Lepisosteus oculatus: one gene and its partner. The protein of the gene in region 2 interacts with the protein of the main gene of each other region in a pairwise test. Links are inferred from orthologs where the notes say so. Each region holds a gene or a part of one and is shown on either strand. Other genes may lie near its edges.

What was found. The genes of interacting proteins can lie anywhere in the genome.
Region 1: the proteins of sf1 (region 2) and rbm17 interact in binary tests that used the Homo sapiens proteins (3 or more experiments, as listed by UniProt). The link is inferred for Lepisosteus oculatus from reciprocal best matches to the Homo sapiens genes SF1 and RBM17.

The regions. Positions count from the first base shown.
Region 1 is NC_090702.1:43,509,497-43,517,387, forward strand, and holds the start of rbm17 (splicing factor 45), read right to left. Parts: upstream 3,235-7,891; 5' UTR 3,134-3,234; intron 742-3,133; 5' UTR 721-741; coding exon 598-720; intron 304-597; coding exon 187-303; intron 1-186. UniProt on the Homo sapiens protein: Splice factor that binds to the single-stranded 3'AG at the exon/intron border and promotes its utilization in the second catalytic step. Involved in the regulation of alternative splicing and the utilization of cryptic splice sites.
Region 2 is NC_090713.1:21,526,246-21,534,149, reverse strand, and holds the start of sf1 (splicing factor 1), read right to left. Parts: upstream 3,683-7,904; 5' UTR 3,639-3,682; coding exon 3,562-3,638; exon of another isoform or gene 3,405-3,561; intron 1,522-3,404; coding exon 1,088-1,521; intron 1-1,087. UniProt on the Homo sapiens protein: Necessary for the ATP-dependent first step of spliceosome assembly. Binds to the intron branch point sequence (BPS) 5'-UACUAAC-3' of the pre-mRNA. May act as transcription repressor.

The DNA of each region.
Region 1 (7,891 bases), on a different chromosome or scaffold from region 2:
TTGCAGGTTTTATTTGTCTAAGGCCATTCTTTACTACCTACTTAAAATGTAAAAAGTTACCATGATGGAGAGTTGCCCATACAAACCACAATACTCAATCACTCATAGGTCAAGCTCTCAATTCTGTTTTAAAAACAAATGCAGAATAAAATGTAAAAAAGCCAGATTAACCCAAAACGTTCATACTTTCAGGCCAGCTGCCACATGGGGAGGTGTATCAGAGATCTGTCTGTCATCACTGGTGCTGCCCCTCTTCAGATCGATCACCGGGGCTAAAACTGTAGTCTGCTTTGTACGCTGGCTCTGAAAGGAGGAAAAGTGTTAAATCTATTTAAACATCATATTTTACCAAAAACACACCTCAGACTACATTAAAAATATTTTCAGCTTTGAAAAGAAAAACTTCCTGTGCATTCTACTGTTATTTCCTTCGTGCCCTGCTCCAACCAAAGGTCCTAATTAAAAAATCTTGATGAAATTTAAAAGAAATATTTCTGAATAAATAAATCAATCAATCTGACCTATGCATCATCTACATCATGTTCATATCGTTATCATATTAACTGATCTAACCAATGAAACGGTACTCTCCCATACCTTGGCCTGTGTCAGCGCTGCTTTCTTCACCTGAAGCTGAGACTGAAGCAGCTTGAAGTTCTTGGACCAGCCTTCCGTTTTCGTGTCGCTGGTCTCAACTCCCAGGTCATCATAGAGGGACATGTTCCTTTAGTTCCGGAATACCTTGGAGACAAAATTGGATCTTTTGATAAAACAGACCAACGGCACTTTGAAAGAAAGATTGAGAATACTAATTCACAAAGCCTGCACAAAAAATGCAACAGCCTGTAATACTACATCGCTGCGACATGGCTGGCAGCAGTCAACATAGACAGTCATGTGAAAAGGAAAGGACACCCTCTTTCAATTCTGAAATGGTTTTATATATCAGGACATAACAAAAAATCAACTGGTCCTTACCAGGTCCTACAGTTAGGTAAATCTAACCTCAGGTGATAAACAACACAGCTCAGATTCCACTATGTCATTATTTAATTTAACAAAAAATAAGCTAACATGCAGAAGCCATGCGTGAAAAACTAAGTCCACCCCATGATTCAGTAGCTTACAGAAGCAGAAGTAATCGTTTCCTGTATGAGTTTATCGGTCTCTTATAAATATTCCTCCAGTCGCTTGTTTTGGAGGAATTTTGGCACACTGTTCTTTACAACATTGCTTCAGTTCACTGATGTTTGAGGGCATCTGTTTATGCACAGCTCTCTTCAGGTCTCACAGACAGCATCTCAATGGGGTTGAGGTCTGGACTTTGACTTGGCCATTCCAACACCTTGATTCTTTTCTTTTTCAGCCATTCAGTTGTCGATTTGCTGGTGTGCTTGAGATCGTTGTCCTGTTTCATGACCCAATTTCGGCCAAGCTTTAGCTGTCGGGCAGACGGTCTCACATTTGTCTCTAGAATACTTTGGTTTGTGGTCAACTCAATGACTGCAAGGTGCCCAAGTCCTATAGCTGCAAAACAAGCCCAAATCATCACCCCTCCACTACCGTGCTTGGCGGTTGGTATGAGGTGTTTGTGGTGATACACTGTGTTTGGTTTTTCGCCAAACATGGCGTTGTGCATAATGACCAAACATCTCCACTTTGGTCTCGCCTGTCAAAAGCACACTTTTCCAGAAATCTTCTTGTTTGTTCAGATGCAACTTTGCAAACCTAAGCCGTGCTGCCATGTTCTCTTTGGAGAGAAGGGACTTTCTCCTGGCTACCCTTCCATGAAAGCCATACTTGTTCAGTCTTTTTCTGATCGTACCGTCATGAACTTTAACATTTAACATGTTAACCGGGACTGTAGATCCCTAGAGGTAGCTCTTGGGCTCTTTACGATTTCGCTGAGCATTATACGGTCTGACCTTGGTATGAATTTGCTGGGACGCCCACTCCTGGGAAGATTGGCAACTGTCTTGAATGTTCTCCATTTGTAAATAATCCTTCTCGCTGTAGAATGATGGATTTCAGATTATTTGGAAATGGCCTCATAACCCTTCCCAGATTGATGAGCAGCAACAACTGCTTTTCTGAGTTCATTGCTGATGTCTTTTCTCCTTTGCATGGTGTTAACACACCTGAATGCTCAAGATCACCAAACTGCCAAAACTTCTGCTTTTATAGAGGTGGTCATGCTTCCTGTTGATCAACTAATCAAGTGCATTTGATAAGCATTACCTGGCTGCTAATTACCTTCTTAATTCCTATGGAAGCAGTAAGGGTGTACTTAATTTTTCCCACATGGTTTCTGCATTTTGGCTTACTTTTTGTTGAACAAACAATGACATAATGAAATCTGTAATGTGTTGTGTTATCTGAGGCTAGGTTTGTCTAAATACAGAAATTGGTGAGGACCAGACGATTGTTATTTATGCCCTGATACGTAAAACCATTTAATTGACAGATAGTGTACTTTCTTTTTTACATGACTGTAGTACTTAGGGGCTGTTTCACAACACTTGCTAATCATGGTTGAACTACCCAAAACTCGAGCTATGAATAGAACTTATGTTAAAAAAGTTATTAATATTTCACCTTACATATCATATAAATACTGCGAGTTTTTTAGAATAACTGCAATTTTGACTTCCAGTCCGTAGACAGAGATTAACTATTACATTGTACGTCTTTATTAAATGTTCACATAAAGGAAGCAAAGACAAGTAAAAACGTTCCCCAGGACTTTTTTATACGCCATGACTAACAGCTTTAAGAAATACACACGTTCTTGTAAACTCACAAGATTAAGTTCAACTAAACGTGGCGCGCCATCACCATTCATGCTTATCATAACAAAAGCACAACATATTGAAATCCTACAAACAATAACCGCCTTCTTACGACTGATACAAAAGAGCGCAATATAGTAGCTTTCAGAAACAAAACGTCAGGTTTCGCAGAAGAACATATTTATTTCTCCTAATAAAAGGACTTGAAACGGTGTACTCCATTTACTGACCCGCACATCACAACCATATCTGGGCCACAGGTACGGTTAAAACCCAGAGTTAAGAATCCACACCGTTTAATTCAAATATTTTAGCTATTAGGTTATATTTAAAACAATACCTACCAGACTTTATACAAACGCAATCAAACAACGTTCAAAAACGAAGATATTTACGACATCGCTGGAAAAAGAAAGCGGAGTTACATGAAGACCCCCTGTTAAAATCTCTGCTGCCACCACCCAGTGGAGGACTGAAACTACACGTGAATATCAGAACCTCGGGAACGTTTTATTCTGACACTAGATGTCGCTTTACGCAAGGGAAAAACAAATATCGCTAACCGAGACGGAAGGTCAGAGAGAAAAAATGCACTCAACATTTCTGATCAGATGGACTTCAGATATAACAGTTTCATGCCAAAATACTACTTAAATCTACAGGTCGGTTTATTTAGTATATCTATACTAATATATACTATCTGGTATTTATACTATATAATACAAATAATTCTTTACACTTCACTTTTCTGGACATTCCACTCACGTTACACATTATGGGGACTCCCCTCCACCACCACCAGCGTGCAGCCCCACCTGGATGATGTGCCAGTACTCTCACCACACATCAGCTGTCAGTGAGGAGGAGAACAGAGTGATGAAGCCAATTCATAGATGGGGATTATTAGGAGGCCATGATTGGTAAAGATCAGGGGGAAATTTGGTCAGGACGCCAGGGTTACACACCTACTCTTAATGACCACAAGGAGTCATATTTTACATCTCATCAGAAGGACTGCACCTTTTTACAGTATAGCATCCCCATTACTATATTGGGGCATTAGGACCCACACAGACCACGGAGCACACTCTGCTGGTCCCATTAACACTTCTTGCAGCAGCAACTTAACCTTTTCCCAGGAGGTCTCCCATCCAGATACTCACCAGAGTGACACCTGCTTTGCGTCAATGGGTTGTCAGTAGTAAGTTGCAGGGTGATATGGCTGCTGGCATATACTGAACCTCTATTTGTTATGTTATTGTGGACTAAACATGATAGAAATTTTAAACAAATTAGGGCTTTATTGAGTACAGAGGGAATAGGGAGAAGCCAAATGTGTTTCACAAAATTCAAATAACTATTTCCCAAGCTTTTTATAGCAATATACATATTTTAGAACCCACAAGTTAAAAAGGAGGGCAAATGTTTAAACATAGCTGACCTCTCATCTGGCAGCTTCCAAAAAGTGACTTAGCAGTTTCTGATATCCATCCTTTAAGTTCTTCATCCAATTAAGAATCACTTGGGAGCCAGAGCCTATCCCAGCAAGCAACAGGCACAAGGTGGGATACACTCTGAATAAGACACCTGTCCATCTCAGGGCAGACACACACACTCACACTAGGGCCAATTTTCCCAGAAGCCAATTAACCTACCAGTATGTCTTTGGACAGTGGGAGGACACCAGACCAGCTGAAGGAACCCCACGAGAATATCCGCAGAATATAAAAGCTCCCTGAAGATAACACCCTAGGAATTGAACCCATGTTGAGTTCCAACATGAAGCTACAGGTGATGGCAGCTTGCATCAGGGGGTGATTGCATTCAGGGGGTGATTGTTTTAATTATGGTCACTTTGGAGCAGTAGATACAAATGAATGAAAGGCACAGAAGGTCTCATATTGGAGAATTTAACTATTCTTCAATGATCGAAGCCAGGCCAGGTTTAAGTTGATTGATTAGTTTAATTGGGTAATTAGTCCTATCTTTTGTAACACTTGTGTGAGCCTAGAGAAGGAGCTTAGGGTTTTAAAAGAAAGTTCCTCTTTCTTTTTGAGAGGAAGGAAGAAATCAGAAGGAGAAGTCAACTAGTCAGAGAAACTTGGAAGACTGCCTGAGCCACAGCTACATCCGCCCATTAACAAAACAAAAAGCAGTATTCCAGTTTGTGTCATAGCAGGAAAACCTTGCCTGTCCTCTATTACATCTTTTACATCTATTACACTTTTCAAATTAGAAGACCTTATTCAGATCTTTGTGAAGATAGTGTCTTTTTACATGACCAACACAAAAGAAGTAAGGACACTTCACAAAGCAGGAGGGAATCTTTGAGGCTTGGAAGGGGACTGAGGTACCACCATTAAGGACCCAGGATTCACGGCCCCTTCCAGGATAGTCTAAGTATAATTGTGTTTATTTTGCTGCGAAGGAATTCATCCTGCCAAAACTTATAAACTTAGAGATACTGCTTACCTTGAAATCCTTATTAGCTGTAAACTGATTTGGGAAGTAGTTATCAAGTCAGATCGTTACAACTTTCCCACTTATTTGTGGCCCATATACCACCAGATGAATGCTTGTTGTAAAATCTGATAGGGTTGGGCAATGACTCAGTCTGTGAGTGAATGCCCAGATGATAAATAAAATGTCTAATTTTATCGTCTCTCCTCCTGCCTTCTCTACCTCTGTGACCAGCATGCCCCCCCACTGTAAATATTAGGGCAATAAACCTTCTCCACATCACAGGACTACAGCCTCATACTCTCTTCACTTCAACCGTCTGATGCAAAAATGCAGATATTTGAATTTGATTCTAGAAATTAATTGATTTTTTAAAAAAAGGTTGAAAACCACTGCTCTGGTAGCATTAATACTGGTAATTAATTTCTTTGTCTCTTTATATTTATATACTGAATAGGCATGTTGGTTGCATCTGTTAATGCCTTTCTCTTAATATTTTCTAAAATATATTATGGTATATTTAGGACATCCTAAATGTGTTGCACTCAGAATTGCTGACATGCTTAGACAATTTAGGTTTAACAGAGTTTAAACAACTATAGAGTTTTAAAATATTTAATAAGGTATACCTATAAGGTAGGATTTGAAAAGGTTTAAAATAAGATACATATAACTTCTTAGTGTAATTCAAACAGAGATTGCAGGTGTAATGAAACGCCCCTGTATATAACAGGGATCTCAGCTGCCCGGGCTGGGGGAGTTCTCCTTTAGCTCAGCTGGCAAGTTCCCTGTTCCGTGACGGTGGAGACCCAGGTTCGTGCCCAGGCAGTGAGGGACGAACTGGCAGGGCAGGAGTGGCAAGGGCGGAAACCCCAGGCAAAGTTTCCAGGAAAAAGTTAAATCACAGAAGTCTGGCTTCGTGATGCATTAGTTACTGTAGACTGTTTTGTGTTTCTTAAGTAAACAAGGATCTTCAGCATCATAAGAACATGAGTACGGCTACAGCCAAGGGGAAGCCATTTGGTCCATGTAGCCCATTCAGTTGTTGTAGCTAACTGTAATCTGATTCAAGGATGTCAGGAAAGAAGCCAGGTTATCGTTTTTGACAACAGCACTGGGCAGACTTACTCTAGACACCCTCCACCCTTTGCTAAATAAGTGTCTCCTGTTCTTGGTTTCAAATGCAATTTTACAAACATTGTGTTTCACTATTTATACTAAAAAATAGTCCACTAAGTTGACTTTGTTGATGCCTTGGAGGATTTTGGATACATGGATCTCATCAATGTACTGTATCTCTTATGCTCTGGACAGGTTCCAGAGCAGCAATATCTATATCTTATAACCTGGTGCCAAAGAGTGTACGTACTATTCTAAATGAGGATTTACTAGAGCTGTGGAAATATTATCCCTCTATTTAAATTTTGCACTTATAACTACAGTATATTGCCTAACATTTTGTTTTTATTGGTGCCCAGCATTGGATGATATAAATGTTCGTTAGCGTGAGCGCCTCGGTCTTTTAAAAGTAGCCTCTACTTGCTCAGTTTCCCATTTTGTATTTATGCTTTGCTTTTACTTCCTGCACAAAAACCACAAACATGTCTAAATTAAATATAATCTACCAGATGTTTGCCCAGTCTTGAACGTTCTCTGAATTCTTTTTTATTTGTTTTGCTTCTAGAGTGATTACTATTCCTCCTGTTTAGGTATCATCTGCAAACTTGACTAGTTATAACTAACTCTCACTAAACCAGAATCTACATCATTCACATACAGTACATTAGCAAGAGCAGATCTCTATCTTACTCTTCCTACTATATCACCCCAGTCTGAACAGTTACCCTTTATCTGTACTCTACCTCCTTCTCCTTATTCAGTTCTCACACTAGATTACTGCATTTCCTTGAATGCCTACCACCAACAGTTTGAGAATTAATCTTTCTTGGAACTTCATCAAATCTGAAAATCTAAAAACACAATATTGTATGCTCTATGTGTATGTTGCTGTTATTCCATGTTCTACGAGCTCTACCACGTTTGTTACAATATCTTATATTGTTATAATACTTATAATACAGTATCTACCCAGACCTTCAATTTGATTGGTCTGTGGCAGCCTTGATTCTTTAAGGTAGCAATTTGCCACATGAAAGATTTTGACAGGCAGAACAACCTGCTTTGTTTATATCAGGTTTTGCTTTGTTTTGCCTTGTAGTTTTGTCAGAGAAGTTGTTTGAGTGTTTTCAACAAATACCAGATGGCAGTCAAAACTCCGAGCCTAATTAGAATTGCAAGCAGATTAGATGGTGTCCAAGAAAGTTCCATTATTAAGAAAAAATGGCAGCAAAGAAGCAGCAAGTATCAAAGAAGAATGTGTAAGAACTATCTGTGTCTTATCTAATAAGAAAAATGAGATGCACTAACACTTATCACTGGTATGAAATAATACTTACTGTAGTAAGGCAATGTGGCAGTTCAGTGTTTATAGAAAAATGTTACCTGTAAATAACAATGTATAAGATTTCTTTGTGCTCTCAATGATGTGAACCTTTGAGGAGTCTCCCAACTCCTGGTCTGCTGACTCCTAACCTGGGAGTTTAACTGGTTCCCACTACTAGTGTCTCATCACTTGACAGAGC
Region 2 (7,904 bases):
GTCCGCAGCAGATTCCGGCACCCGCTTCCCGGCACACACTCCCGAACGGAAGAGCCGTTTCCACGGACCGAGTTCGCCAGATTCGGGAAGGAGGGCGGGGGTACAGACTAGCGGGAGGCCAACGTCTCGTCCGCGCCTCGACGGCCGACGGCGCCGCCAGCGTTTACCACATGAAGTTACCGCAAAGCCCCAGAAACATTCCTTCCAAAAAAAAAAACGAGGACAAAGAATGGGGGGTGGGGGGAGCAGGGGGACAGACAGACGACCCCCCCGTGGAGTCTTCACACCTAGGGCTCCCCACCCCGCGGCTGACATCCAAACCCACACAAGACCCGCAGGGGAAAAAAGCCATTTCAAACAAAAAACAAACGATTTCCTTGAACTTCCCTTTCACTGAAAGGAAACCCTTAACAGCCAACGGCAATGCCCCGGAATACCACACTCATCGCCCTGGACGCTATTTGTTCTTCCGGAATTTCGGAACGCGCGGCCCACAGGTGGTGCAGTGGCGTGTGTCTCGCGGGCCGTACGGTGCGAGTAAGCATCCCGATCTCCTCGACCGCTCCCTCCCGGCCCCGTCCGATCCCGGGGGCGGACAGAAACCGCCGAGGGCTGGGAGCGCGACGGGAGAAAACCTGGGGAGGTTTTGCTGCAGCCACACCTCCACCCCCCGTCCCTGGGAAGGTACGCCCCACCCCCCCCCCCCCCGTCCCCAGGATGGTAGGCCCCACTCCCCCCCCCCCCCCCGTCCCTGGGAAGGTACGCCCCACTCCTCCCCCCCTGTCCCCAGGATGGTAGGCCCCACTCCCCCCCCCCCCCCCCCGGGAAGGTACGGCCCACTCCTACACCCACTCCCTCACCAGTCCCTGGGATGGTACACACCAGACCTTCACCCCCCCCCCAATCATATCCGTCACTGGGATGGTACGCTCCACACCTCCACCCCCCCCCCCCCCCAACCCGTCTGTGGGATGGTACACCCCACCCCTACCCACCCTCAGACCACAAACATAGGAAGGCCAGGAGACCCCGACTACAACCCAGCACTACGGGGCAGCTGGCCCCCAATCCGCCCGCGGCTCGTCACCTTGGAAGGCCGTGTTGTCCAGCCCGTTGATGGCCTCCATGGCGTCCTCGGCCCGCTCCATGTGCACGAAGGCGTAGTCCTTGACGATGTCGCACTCCACCACGGGGCCGTACTCCTCGAACTTGGCCCGCAGCTCCTGGTTGGTGCAGCTGCTGCTGATGTTGCCCACGTGCAGCTTGGTGGAGGCCTTGGCCTTGCCCCGGCTGATCTCCACGTTCATGGGCTGCCCGTTGAGCTCGTAGTGGTGCAGGTTGCGGATGGCCTCGTCGGCCTCCGCCTTGGTCTCCATGTGCACGAAGCCGTAGTTCTTCACGATGTCGCACTCCGAGATCTTGCCGTACTGGGAGAAGAGGGCGCGCAGCTCCTCGGCCGTGGTGTCGGGCGACAGGTTGCCCACGAAGATCTTCACCATGGTGAGTCTTTCCTCTGGCGCTCTGCGGGAAGGGAAGCAGGGGGGTGGGGGAGAGGTTAGGGACCAACGCAGGGATCTGAAGCCCCGCTGCAAAACAGCAGACAGCATAAACTGCAGGGGACTCCTGGCCTCTGAAGAGCGCCTTTCAACCCTAACTGCTTTACATACAGACGCCCAGTGCTCATTCTTCACCAGTAGCCCCCAGCTGGGAGGCGCGCAGTGATCCTTCTGCACCAGCAGCCCCCTAGCTGGGAGACGCATAGTGGTCATTCTGCACCAGCAGCCCCCACCTGGGAGACACACAGTGATCATTCTGCACTGGCAGCCCCCACCTGGGAGACACAGCAGATCATGGGGAGGGGAGAGAAACTGCTTCGCCTGTTGAATGTATCGGGACTGAACTGCACAGGCCCAGAGCGGAGTTCAGCCAGGACACTGGAATAAACACCCTACTGTTACCAACAGTCCTGAGATTTTTAATACCCCAGTGGTCCAAACCTTCACGTCTCGCCTGAAGAGTGGCACCTACTACGGCACACTGTCCCCTCGCCATACGGGAGGGGGTAATTACTGGGAAATTCTGGTTCAGCAGGGAAAACGGCTCCTACTGGTCCACCAACACTATACACACCACAGCGCAGGAGGGTGAGGACTATCTGGACACAAGTCATACGCATTGCTATCAAAACACAACAACTCGCGCATACACACAGAAACACAAAGACGTGAACTGAACACATTCAAACGTTAAAACCACCAGCAAAACACAATCCAGGGGAGACAAATGACTTTAAAAAAAAAAAACCCAGGCCGATGCTTTTATCCAAATCACCACACACGTGTTCCCATGTATGGGAGCTGGGGTTTTTCCTGGAGAGTTTTCCCCGAGTGTGGCACCTTGCTCAAGGGTACGACAGCAGGGTCTCGCCTGGTATTTGAACCCACACCCTTCCAGTTACGAGCCCGGACGCTCAGGTCCCTGCTCCCCCAAGCACGTTACACAAAGGGCGGTGGGGGGGTGGAACAGGCCTACCCAGCCACACTATTCGGAGCCGACAGCCGGGCTGCTTAAAAAAAAAAGCGCATGGGTGAGACCGGCCATTTCGCCCGGCTCCTTTGTCACGATACTGAGCGATCCAACGGATATAAGCCCCCCCCCCCCCGCCCCCCAAAAAAAACTACCCCCCACCCAACATCGTGCAAGCTTTGTGCAACACAGCCGGCCTGACCTATTTCTGTGGGCGCAAATCTACCGGGAACAGACTTCCAACAGCAGGAAAAGTAGCAGCGCGCCGGCGAAAAGTTGCGTGTGCCGCGCATCTTCCCAGAACAAGAAAATACCCTTTTTGGATTCCGTGCAAGTATTATTTCTGCTTTAAATCGCCCATCAGGAGCGACGATGAGTGACCCATTAACCAAGCGCGCCCAGACCCAGGTACAGCGGCCGTAGCCCCCTCTAAGCCGGCTGGACTCCGGTGCACCGGGGTGGACGGTGAAGCTCCGGGTCCAGAACAATGCAGCAGCAGCAGCAGAGGCACACGGGCCTCATGGCGAGGGGCAGGTCCCCCAGGCAGCGAGAAACAAGCCTACCGCCCCCCGATTCACTCACACACAACTGAACACCTAAGTACGATAACGCACGTCCGCCATAAAAAATATAATAATCGTGGAATATTGTCTGCGTGCAATGCCCAGGGAGAGACTGGCTCCCTCCCGCCAGGGAACTCGGACGACCTTAACGCGGTGCGCCCGCCATCTCCTACCTGCCGGGGGAAGCGCTTTTAAAAACCCCCAAAAAGCGGCCGAGGACACACAGTATGCTAACGTTTTAAGCGCAGAAAACAATAAACCGGCGGTTCAGCCCGTCTCACCCTCCCTCCTCCTCCTCCTCCTCCGCTCACTTACAAAAACAAAACCGTTTTCTTTCCCGGCGCGGCTCCAAGACGACTCCGGCGATCGCGGGGGGCTCTATCGCAACCAAATCCCGACTTTCCGTTTTATGCCTGTTTTTTTTAAGACGAGGCCTCAATGACTGAATTTTTGTTTAAAAAAAGAAAGCTACCTTAAGTTTTGCGCACACACACACACAAAAAATGGCCTCTCCCGCTCAGCTCGGTCTGTTATAAGCAAAGCCAACATCCGCCACGGCGCAGCAGTAGCGGCGGCGGCAGCAGCAGCAGCAAATGGCGTCGCTTCCGCGCACGTACGCCGCACGTAGCCCGTGCGTCGCTTGACGCCGCGTCGTGCGCCGGAAGTGGGGAAAGCGGGGGGCGGGAAAGCGGTCTTCGAGCTCTTCAAAATGGCGGACTGTGCGGTGGAAGTTCTTTCTTTTTTTTAAAAGCGTCGCCACAATAACAAAAACAAGAAACAAAATGCATACAGTATACACAAGCATACATATACCAGAATCAGGGGGGGCATACCACGATTGCTCTTTACGAAACAAGATGAAACAAAGTCAATAAAGATAAAATACGCACATACGGTTTCATGTCCTTACATTTAGAAATTATATCTGAAGGTATGCCCTCTTAGGAAAGGTATGTCTCTTTTGAAATGTTCAAAGGTGGGTCTCTTCTCAGACCATTTCATTTCATGTATAGATTAACGGGCAGTAAGCACTGTGCAAGTGAGATCGAGTTAAATCACAAGGGATTTCCCATATACAGTATATATATTTGAATCCCATTGTAAAGAAAAACAAAAATATTATTTGTTATTGACATAATCATTTTACTTGCTTGTTATTATATACATTTTATTTCTGATGTTTAAATAAAAACTGTACAAATGTAATGTTTACAAAAAAATACATCAAATGAAATGGTCTGGGAAGAGATCCATATTTGAACAATTTAAAACAGACATCAGAGTATATCTCCAGACCAGTTCTACACGTACGTACATGAAAGAATTGACGTTAACTAGTTTAGTATTTTTTTCTAAATTGAAACTTATCATGTACCTTTGATTATGTTAGTAGTTAAGATGGGGAGCTGCGTCAGCAGGCATAGGCCGCAAAGGAACAAGTAATAGGTTTATTCCAGGCTGAAAAGAGAAGAAAAAGAACACGTTTCGGCCGTGGAGCCTTCTTCAGGTGTGTACAGCAGTGATTATGTTGTATGTACGGCTGTGTATTCAATTTTTTGTGGTTGCAATAAAAAAATTAATAAAAGGATATCCCTAAAAGCAAATCACAGAGAATCCCTTGTCACACAATTGAAAGCATTGTGGGAGTCCATTTAAAACAGAACAGGAAGGACTTCTTTACACCAAGGGTGGTGGGAGTGAGGAGCAAGCTGCCCAGTCACGTTGCTGAAGCCGACACCCTGGAGATTTCTCAAGAGACGACTTGATAAGATCCTGGGATCAGGACGGGCGGGGACACAAAGGGTGGTAGGAGTGTGGAACAAACCGCTCAGCCAAGGTGGTGAAATCGACACCCTGGCTTCTTACCAGAAACGACTGGAGTGATCGGTCAGCTATCTTAAATCAAATGACCTCAAACAGGGGCCGAAAGCCCCCCGGGTTTACTCGTATTGGTCCAGATAAGTACGGTGAACAAGTTCTCATTTCCAGTGACGATCCAGAGTCAGTTCGCACAGTACGACCGCCCTTAAATGCACAGCAGCAGTGTCTGACCTGAGATTTCAACCACTTTCCTACGGTCTTGAGCACCGATCTCTCCTAGAGCCCGTTAGGTTCCTCGATAGGTATATCCTGATTGCTGCAGATAGAAGTATGAATAAGTGTAATATGTGTTTTCTGTTGTTTGCCTTGCTTCTATCCACGGGGGGGCAGATCAAAGCTGTTGGCATGGCAATAAAGAGTTGCATTGACAATTTAAATTTAAATTTAAATTTTACCACATTGCGGCTGGACCACCAACACGGTCTCCGGCGACGTCTCTTTTCCTTGGCCTTCCTGTAGAGCTATAATGTTTAGTGTTTACAATTGTGAATTCCTCTGGCCTGCGAAGTGTCTATTTCTGTATCTATTTCAATATTCCGTCTCCTTTTTTTTCTTTTGTATTTCGGGTTAAATAAAAAACTTATTTTTTAAAAAAAGAGATTCGAGAGGTAACGTCTACGCAGTGTGACGCGACCCGTGTTACAATTTGCATTAAAAGTCAATCGCACACAGAAACGCAACAGGGGTATAAATAGGGATAAGATTAAGGACTGGGACAGTGGCCTTTTTTTTATCTTTAATCTCCTGCCATCTGGACCGGGAATCAAGCGATCAATCAAAGCCGTTGAGTACGCCTTTTTAAATTTTAATACTGCCAATACTGCGTTGTACTTCAAACACGGCCCTGTAGCGGGATTGAGCGGTAACGCGCGTTACCATGACAGTGAACTCGACGTAACGTCGCTGTCCAGCGAAAAGATTTTTTACTTTGGGGGTTAAAATACCCCCCCAAACGGTTTAGAAAACCCGGAGAGAGACACCTTCTGAGCACATCAACTTGTAATTTCACCGTTTCCTCCCCGTGTAGCCTGAAGTGACATTCCGCGACCGGTTCTTTCAGTGATGAGCCGTGTGGTTTTTTTACGGGCTGTGAACGGACATGTAATGTCAAGGTGAAAGACCGTGCTCAGGCCCCAGTCCGCGTCCTCAACGGCTACTGCTAACAACAAGGCCTCAGACTCAATACCCAATGTTGTTGTTGTTGTTTGTTTTCTCACTACTACATATTTGTTGTCCACAACTTATTTATTGTTGTTGTTATTATTATTTTATTATGTCTGTAATACACTGTGTAATGTAGGGGGGTGTTGTGTGCTGTACTGTGTATTCCCCCAGAACAGAACACGACAATGAGACACAATGGGGATCCCCTCCACCCCCAGCAGTGTGTACCCCCACCTGGATGAGGCGCCAGTCCGCTCCCCACACCCCAGCTCTCAGTGGGGAGGAGAGCAGAGTGATGGAGCCAGTTCAGAGAGGGGGGTTATTAGGAGGCCATGATGGGTAAAGACCAGGGGGGAAATTTGGCCAGGACACCGGGGTAACACCCCTACTCTTCTCGAGAAACACCCTGGGGTTTTTAATGACCACAGAGAGTCAGGACCTCGGTTTTACATCTCATCTGAAGGACGGCGCCTGTTTACAGTCTAGTGTCCCCGTCACTACACTGGGGCATTAGGACCCACATGAGCCACAGGGTGAGCGCCCCCTGCTGGCCCCACTAACACCTCTTCCAGCAGCAGCCTCAGCTCTCCCAGGAGTCTCCCCTCCAGGTACTGGCCAGGCTCCCACTGCTGGGCTCCAGTGGGGCTGCCAGTTGTGAGTTGCAGAGTGACATGGCTCCTGGCCGGCTGCATGTACTCATGCCAATAAACTCCTCTCCTCTTGAACCTGACGAGGGTCCGAGAACACAGGTCCAGAGAGAAGAATAAATGGGGAGGGGAAAAAAAAGATTCTTTCTAATCTAAAAATATAAAAATAGCCTCACAGTTCCCCTTTAAGCCAGTAATGAACTATCCAGTTCGTTATGAGCTGAGTTAGAATGCAACCCCGCACTGCCCTTCCTTGGTCTGGGCACTGCTTGGCTCCACAGCGCCACCCAAAGGAGGGTGAATGCACTGCAAGATCCACCAGAGTCTGATCTCCCCTAAAAAAGCATTACTGCCCTCCCCTTAAATACAAATTAATCTTGGCAGTCAGAATTTTTAACCAAATGCTTTGTCTCCTCTGTGACGACTTAATTATCGCCAGGCCAATGATCCTCCAGGCCAAAAAAGCAAATATTAGTTATACGACATACAAGAAATCAGTGTAGCTGGTGAGATACATCATTCTGGTTAGGCCTGGGTGTGTGGTCAGACAGTACAAGAGGATATACGCACTATCTACCCACTGTTTCACTTTGGAACGATTTCTTCGCCAACCTCAGTCTGTTCATGACCCGTAATGTTGTCAAAACATAACTTTAGAAATCTGCTAATAAAAAGATGATCGTCGCCCTAAGGAGCAAGGTTAATCTTGCCCACAGCTCTGCTGTAGGATACTGTCGTTCTTGTAAAACATTAAAACCACAAACATGGCAGTTTGCTTGCTCAGCTTTATACTGCACCACAGACAGAAGACAAAACGTCTCAATACCGGATTAGTCTCTGTTAGCTAAACTTATCCGCACAAGCTGCTCAGACTTCCCGATTGACAGCAACATCCACAAGAGAATCTGCGAATAGTACCAAAATATTTTTTTCACACATTTGAAAGTAAACAAGTCAGAAGAACAGAGTGCCGTCACACTTTTTCTCTCTCCGGACATGATGTTCTGCTTGGGGGAAATGAGGAAGTGGGGCTGCTGGTCAAGTGGCGCAAACACACCCTGTAACGGGAAATGAAACCTGCGATGGGCTACCCTTCTCTTCTTCGCGTTTGTAGAAAGGAGGG